2 linked regions of the Cricetulus griseus genome follow. The protein of the gene in region 1 interacts with the protein of each later gene in a pairwise test. Links are inferred from orthologs where the notes say so. Each region holds a gene or a part of one and is shown in the gene's direction. Other genes may lie near its edges.

Region 1 (4,281 bases):
GAGCAAACAAAGCCATTTCGGTTATAGCACCCTTGAAACCACAAAGACTAGGCAAAACATTTTGCAATTTCATTTGAAGCATCAATGGGCTCTAAGATTTGAACCCCATGGGTCCCAGCCTCAAAGAAGTGGGGAGGTGCCCTAAGAGCTGCAGGAACAGAGGGTGATGCTAAGGAGGCCAAGGGAAGGGGACTTCTTTTCTGGTGGCCCCCAAGGTACAAGGCTGGTGCAGCCATAACCAAGTCACTAGCCACTGCTGTCTGCCTTAAGTAGCCTTAAGGAAAGTGCCTCTCTGGGTAGATGGGTTGGAGCACCAGACAGGCCTTGTCTACCCACATGGGACAAGACCCTGAACCAACTCCACAGTCAGAAAAGCCAAACCCTTTCTGAGGACTGGGAGTCATCGTTCCAGTGTAGTGATATATTTTTTATGATTTATTAAAGCTTGCCTGAGGATTCATAAAGCAAAGTCAGCCACAAGCCATAGAAGCTAGACACACACCTTTAGTCCCAGCATCCAGAAGCTAGGAGGTGGTGGTACACACCTTTAATCCTAAGACTCAGGATTAAGAGGCGGACAGATCTAAGTTCAAGGCCACACAGAAATACATGTTATTGAATCAGTGTAAAGAATAGTCTTCATCCAGCAGCTGGTGGGTGAAAGGCCCGCTGCCTCTCTGTCTCCCCCCGCCTATGCTGATGCTGGGTGTTCTCTCTGGAGCAGCCGGGATGGGCTGAGAAGAGCAGTTGACCTAGGGCAGCGCCTCGGGGACTGAGCAGGGCAGAGCCAGGATACGGCCAGGGGCTGGAGAGTGCAGCGCGGGCGAGCTGCCGCGGAGCCGCCCTGCTTCCCCTTTGTCCCGCTGTCCCTGCCCCCGCCGGCCCCACGCCCCCGGCTGCCGTTTTCCCTCCCAAGCCGGTTCACCCAGGCGGGGCTGCCCTGGCACCGCGCCCCGGGGCTGGGGCCGAGCGGGAAAAGGGCACCCCTCCCCCCCCCCCCCCCCCCGTTGGGGAACCTTCGTCCCAAGGTCAGCCACCTGGGCGCGGAGGGAGGAATCAAGTCTGTTGTACCAGACACCAGACCTTGAGAATATGCTGATCTGGAATGGCTCTGTGCCTCATTTGAACCATCCAATAGAATCCCTGTTCCTTGCTTGTGTTTTTTTCTATAAAAAGGCACCTCTCCCTTGGCTCGGCGCGCTTAGCCACACAGAAGCTAAGTCGCCCCGGGTACCCGCGTCTCCAATAAAGCCTCTTGTTTTTACATCCAGTTCGTGGCCTCGCTGATTCCTGGGTGTGGGTCTCCCTCTACGAAAGTACCTCTTCGGGGGTCTTTCAGTGGAAGTAGAAGCAGACACCCACAGCTAAACCTTGAACTGAACTGAAATCCAGTTGCAGAGAAGGAGGAGTGATGAGCAAAGGGGTCCACACCAGGCTGGTGAAACCCACAGGAACAGCTGACCTGAACAAGGGAGAGCTCTTGGTCCCCAGATTGATAGCTGGGAAACCAGCATTGGACTGATCCAGACACCCTGAATGTGAGTGCCAGTGAGGAGACCTCAGAAATCTATAGGGTCCCTTGTAGTGGATCAATACTTATCCCTAGCATAGGAATGGACTTTGGGAGCCCATCCCATATGGAGGGATACTCCCTCAGCCTAGACACAAGGGGGTTGACCTAGGTCCTATCCCAAATGGCAGACTTTGAAGGCCCCCTACAGAAGGCCTCACCCTCCCTGGGGAGCAGAAAGGGTATGGGATAGGTAGGGTGTTAGTTGGGGGGGGGCAGGGGAGGAGGGAAAGGAGAAGGAACTGGGCTTGACATGTAAAATAATCTTCTTTCTAATTAAAATAAAAAAGGAACTAGGCTATAAAAAAGAGAATAACAGATCACACGCCTTTAATTCCAGTACTAGAGGATTATAAAAGAAGCAGGGTCTTCAGCATTCAATAGGCGCATTCATTCTCCAGCCACGCTGAGGAGAGGCAGCACTTTGAGACTTGGTGAAGAGCTTGTGTGTGGATCAGCCGTTTCAGCCTGAACTAGAGGTGTGAGCCAGTGACCAGCTGCTCTGCTTCCCTGATCTTCAGCTTGAACCCGAATATCTGCCTCTGGGTCCTTTTATTTTTCGTGTTACATTCCAGGTCAGGAATCTCTGCGATTAATTTTCCAAGGGTAAGTGCAGCTTCCAGCAGGAATCCTCAGAGGCTCTGGCAGGTAAAACTGTCCCCATTTCCAGAGGAGGAGCAGAGGGCAAGGAACTTGCCCCAGGCATCTGGACCCATTAGGCTGTGGGGGTGGAGCCCTACGAACTTTGGCTGCTTGGCTCTCAGCCCAGCCACCCACCCCCAGCTCTCCAGTAACTGGGCACAAACACTTCCTGCATGGGGCCTCCAGGCCTGTAAATACTGTGGGCCAGGAGGTGGACACTTCAGGCCCGTGGCCTAGGGAAGCCCAGACACGTAGCAGCAGGTAAGAGGACTCGTGGAGGCTTTCTGCCAGGTCAGAGGAAGGGTGCAGGGGTGGCCTGGACCCTAGATACTTGCTGCACAGCTAATGGGGAGACAGTCTCCTCTCCTGGAAAGCTTGGCACCAGCTGTAGTGATGATGGTAGGGGTGGGACCAGCCAACTCTTCTGAATGTTTGAGTCCCTCTTAGGTTAGGTATGTTAGACCTGAGAAAGAGCCATTTCCAAGGCTATTTGATTAAAGCAAGGTGAATTTAGAGGAGCACAAGGGACTGGCCAGACCACAGCCTCCCCCTAAGTCAGGTTTCAGAGAGCAGCTCCTCAATGGCTTTTGAGGTCCCTTTGATGGGGAAGGGTTAGGTTGATAGAAAACAGCTGTTGAGATCATTGCTGTTAGTGCCTGGACAGAAGGGTGAGGGACTCAGGGCTCAAGGCTGCCTGGGGGGTAGACAGGCACAAGAAGAGGTGCCACCACAGGTGTTTAGGGTTTAACAAGGTAAAAGGCTGGGTATACATTACGGGTTACAAGTTCAGTACAGGTTGAGAAACATGGTTTACAGGAAACAGAGCCTATTCTTCTAAGAGATGGAGACTTATTAACAATGTGTGACAATGCGTCTCCTTAACACCAACGCGGCTCCTGTGCTGGTTTCACAGGTGGAAGAAACTCCTTCTAAAGGCAGAGAGGAAAGTGTCTCCTCTGAGAGAAAAGTGGGGAGAGCAGCTCACCCACAAAGAAAGTTCCAGAGGCAGAACTGAGGTGCCAAGTGGAACAGAAATTTCACTGAAGGTATCCTTGAACTTGGCTTCTGGGTACAGGTGGGACACAGCTGTCACCTGATACCTCTCAGACTTCTCAGGGCACGGGGAGCTCACCTTGCTGTCCCAGCTCTATCTCTTGTAGACTATTGCTCCACACTGGGATGAGCTCCCTGCCCGTGCCCCGGGAGCCCTTGCGCCGAGTGGCTGTGACTGGGGGCACCCACGGAAATGAGATGTGTGGCATCCACCTGATCCGGCACTGGCTGCAGGCCCCAGGGGAGCTGCAGAGACCCAGCTTCTCAGCCATGCCAGTTCTGGCCAACCCAGCAGCCACAGCCGCCTGTCGCCGTTACATGGACCGTGATCTCAACCGCACTTTCACCTTCACCTTCCTCAGGTGAGCTGGCCAGGTTGGCTGGTCCACAGCCGGGTACTAGCATCCCTGCAGACAAGCCTCTGTGGCTAGCAAGGCAGCCCTACCTTTGCTCATTGACCCTCTGGTTTTGAGAGAGCCAGATCAATGTCACTTCTTCCAGGAAGTCGGTCCTGACTGCAAGATGGATCAGTCCCTGAACCTTAGGCCAGACTCTTGACAGCTGGAGTGAGACTCACATTGGGGAATAGGACCAAGGTGTGACCCTCAGGTTACTGGGGACACAGTTGGATGCTACATGAAGCAGTCATGTAGCTGAGAGCAGTCAGGAAAGGCTTCTTGTAGGAGGTGGCATCTCAGCCAAGTCCTCAAAGGTGAAAAGTTAGCCAAGAAAAAGGACACTGATTGAGATGATGGGGACTGGTGTCCCCTACTCCTTCCCCCACAGTTCCACAGCCACTCCCAATGACCCATATGAAGTGACAAGAGCACAAGAGTTGAACCAGCTACTGGGCCCCAAGGGCACAGACCAGGCCTTTGACTTCATCTTAGACCTGCACAACACCACAGCCAACACTGGGGTCTGCCTCATCTCTGAAGCCTCTCACAGCCCCTTCAACTTGCACCTGTGTCACTACCTACAGGTGGTTCCTAGAGGGCAGGGAGAGGGAGGGAAGG
Region 2 (3,094 bases), on another chromosome or scaffold:
CCTACCCTGCCACCTTTCTTCCCATCTGCTGTCAGGTAGTCACTGGAGGGGCATTTAAATTTCATTAAAGTCAGGGATGGTGGCCTGTGCCTGTAATCCCAGCCAAAGGAGGCCAAAGCCAGGGATCTTGAATTTAAGGCCAGCCTGAGCTATGTAGCCTAACTTCCTCAAAATGGTGATGATGGTAATGATGATGTAGCTATATAGCCTAACTTCCTCAAAATGATGGTGATAATTAAACTCAAAGCTGACAGCTCATAGTCACATATTTGCCACACAAGTGAGAAACCTTTTCAGATACCCAGAACTTGTATAAAAAGCCAGGCATAGTGGTGTATGCTTATGATCCCAGCACTGGGAGGCAGAGACAAATGGATCCTAGCACTCCCTGGCCAAATGGTCCAGCCAAATCACTGAAGTCCAGGTTCAGTGAATATTCTGTCTCAAATGAGATGGAGAGCAACTGAGAAAGATACCCAATCAACCTGTACCCTACACATGCACACCTACAGGTAGGAACATGTATACCTACCTGTGAAATGTTAATTTCACAGGGTGTGAGCAGCCCCACTCTAGGCAGCCTGCCCCTCCAACATTCCTGTGACTTTCGAGAGACATTTGGGCACAAAGACAAACTGATAGCTGTGATTGTCATTTGCTGTACTTTTTCACTAGAAAAACAAGCCATAGCCAGATCCTCACAAAGGCATCTGATGCCTTTCATGAGCATAATTACCTTTTCTGAGTTCGATTTCGGTTCATGAGAAGGTTAAACTCCTGCTCAGTGTGACAAAAATGTCATTCCTTTCTTGGAAACTAAGGGAAAATTAACTGAAGAAACCTCCCTAAGCTAGGAACATCAGGGTTGCAACAGCCAGGGACCAGGACAAACCGTAGCCTACTGCTTCTGTTGTGTCTTTGCAGGGTGGCAATGACCATGAGATCTTCACAGACCCCAGAACTGTGGGCTACACGGTGACAGCACCCGAGGACACACGCAGGATCTGTGAGGAGCTCTTCCATTAACACCAGAGGAATGGGCCTGGCCAACAAGACTGAAAGGTCCCTCAGGGTCCGGGGTCACTTAGGGCCAGAGCCGGAGTCCCTCCTCATGTGTATATGTCCCTAGCCTCCAGCCAGGTTGTTCTCATGGGTCCAAACACACAGGGACTAGCGGTCACCTCACTGGGCATGCCAACAGGCCATGCCTCCACCTCCATCTAGCACCACCGGCAGCCCCAAGGGAAAAGAAAGAACTTAATCAGAAATGGCTGTGGCTGGATGTGGTGGATCATGTCTGGAATCTGTACTCAGGAAGCTGAGGCAGGAGCATTGCCAACCAGTCAGAAGACAGCCAGAGGTACAGAATGAGACCCTGTCTCAAACAGAATGGTGGCTCTGGGGTTGGGGGCATTACCCAAAGAACACTTGGCCTAGTATGGATGAGGCTCTCCATTGATTTAAGTACCTCAGAAACAGAAGTATTCCACCATTCCCTTCCTTCAGCCTATGGTCTAAGAACTGGCTGACAGGATCCATGGCTGGTCTTTGAAATGTCCCCATATGATGATACAAAAAAAAAAAAAAAAACAGTATGCCTGGGCCCCTTCCCCTTTGTGGACCGTTTTCTGGCAGTGGTGGGTTGGGGGAGGCTTTATTTGGAGCCATGGTCTCACTGTGTAGCCCTGGGCCAGCCTGACTTTGAGCTCCATCTTATGCCTGTGCCTTACAGATGCAGGTTACATGCACCAATACACCTGCCAAGGTTTCACAGAGACTTGACAATTGTCAGTGTGCAGGGAGACCTGATGGTTGTCAGTGTGCACACCCATCTCACCATCAAAAGGGGGACCTGATGATGAAAAAACATAAGCTATGCACAGTTGCCCACCTGGGACGAAACTGAAGGCTTCTGTGATATATTCCCAGTCTGCGGTGGAGGCTGGGGCATGAACTAAGGCCAGTGTTCTACCAAAGGGCTGATGTTTCTGTTTTCAAGCCAGCTTCCTGTCTATGAGCCAGAGACCACAGCTTGGCCTGCCTGACAGATAGCTGGCCAAGTGACAACTGATCCTAGTTTGCACCTCTACTGGCCTGGCTGGCTCTATTTACTACATTTTACAGCAGGACTGCTGCCTTGTCACCAGCAGGAGGGGGGATAGAGGACCCAGCAAAGCAAAGCCCTGTCTGCAGTCCTTCCCTCCAAGCTACCTGACCCAGGTAATAGCCAGATGACCACATAGGAGCTGCCACTCCTTCAGCCTCTTCCTGGAGAGTGCACAGGCCTCGTCCAAAACCTCAGGGAGTGCCTTCTAAGAAAGTCCCCAGGCCACTTTCCAGTGCCTAGTAAACGGTTCTGCAGCCCAGCTCCTTGTTGGGAACTGCTGCTGCTACCCTTTCCTGCCTCCAGCCACCATGTATTCCCACAGCCCTGCCCTTGGCTACCCACACTGGCATCTGCTACTGACCCCTTCACCTCTGTCCACCCCCACAGGACAGTGCCAGGATCTCCACCCAGAGGCAAACGTTCTTGGATTTTACGGCAGTGCTGTGATCACTTGCCCAGGGAAACACATTAAAGGGACTGCACCTTCCTTGCCTCTTGTTCTGGTCACTTTAATCCTGGGTGTCAGATGGGTTCTTCAGAGAGCTCCACCTTGGGTCCTGAAAACCTCTTCTGCTCTACTCTAGTGACACTGGAGCCCTAGCTGTCCTGGCTGCTGTAGGTCCCAGCTGGCCAGAGGCTGTGTTTTGCCTGCAGGTCCCGTGCTGCCCTCAGGTGGGGACCCAAAGCTGCCAGGTGGACTTCAGGCCTTGTCAGTTCCTACAGTGGCTGTCACCCCCCTCACACACACACACACACACACACACACAGTCATCATTCAGTCTTCCCACCTAATAAAGGGCCTCTGCTCTCCAGGCATCACCTGGCTGTAAAAAAACGATAGTGGCTAAGTCACACATGTATGGCTTTGCTGGTGGAGCAGGGCCTGCAGTATGATGAGTGGCTGCCCAGGATGAAGGACTAGTTCTGCTAGACAGATGTAGCTCAAGGCAAGCCCTGACCTCAGTTTCTCATCTGTTAAGTGGGCAG

Evidence for each region. The genes of interacting proteins can lie anywhere in the genome.
Region 2: the proteins of Acy3 (region 1) and Pmm2 interact in binary tests that used the Homo sapiens proteins (3 or more experiments, as listed by UniProt). The two-hybrid records come from large-scale screens. The link is inferred for Cricetulus griseus from reciprocal best matches to the Homo sapiens genes ACY3 and PMM2.

Annotation. Positions count from the first base shown.
Region 1 is NC_048596.1:55,252,892-55,257,172, reverse strand, and holds the start of Acy3 (N-acyl-aromatic-L-amino acid amidohydrolase (carboxylate-forming)), read left to right. Parts: upstream 1-1,481; 5' UTR 1,482-1,538; intron 1,539-1,914; exon of another isoform or gene 1,915-1,971; 5' UTR 1,972-2,176; exon of another isoform or gene 2,177-2,473; intron 2,474-3,125; 5' UTR 3,126-3,391; coding exon 3,392-3,627; intron 3,628-4,051; coding exon 4,052-4,247; intron 4,248-4,281. UniProt on the Homo sapiens protein: Plays an important role in deacetylating mercapturic acids in kidney proximal tubules. Also acts on N-acetyl-aromatic amino acids.
Region 2 is NC_048600.1:38,114,806-38,117,899, reverse strand, and holds the end of Pmm2 (phosphomannomutase 2), read left to right. Parts: intron 1-924; coding exon 925-1,026; 3' UTR 1,027-2,594; downstream 2,595-3,094. UniProt on the Homo sapiens protein: Involved in the synthesis of the GDP-mannose and dolichol-phosphate-mannose required for a number of critical mannosyl transfer reactions.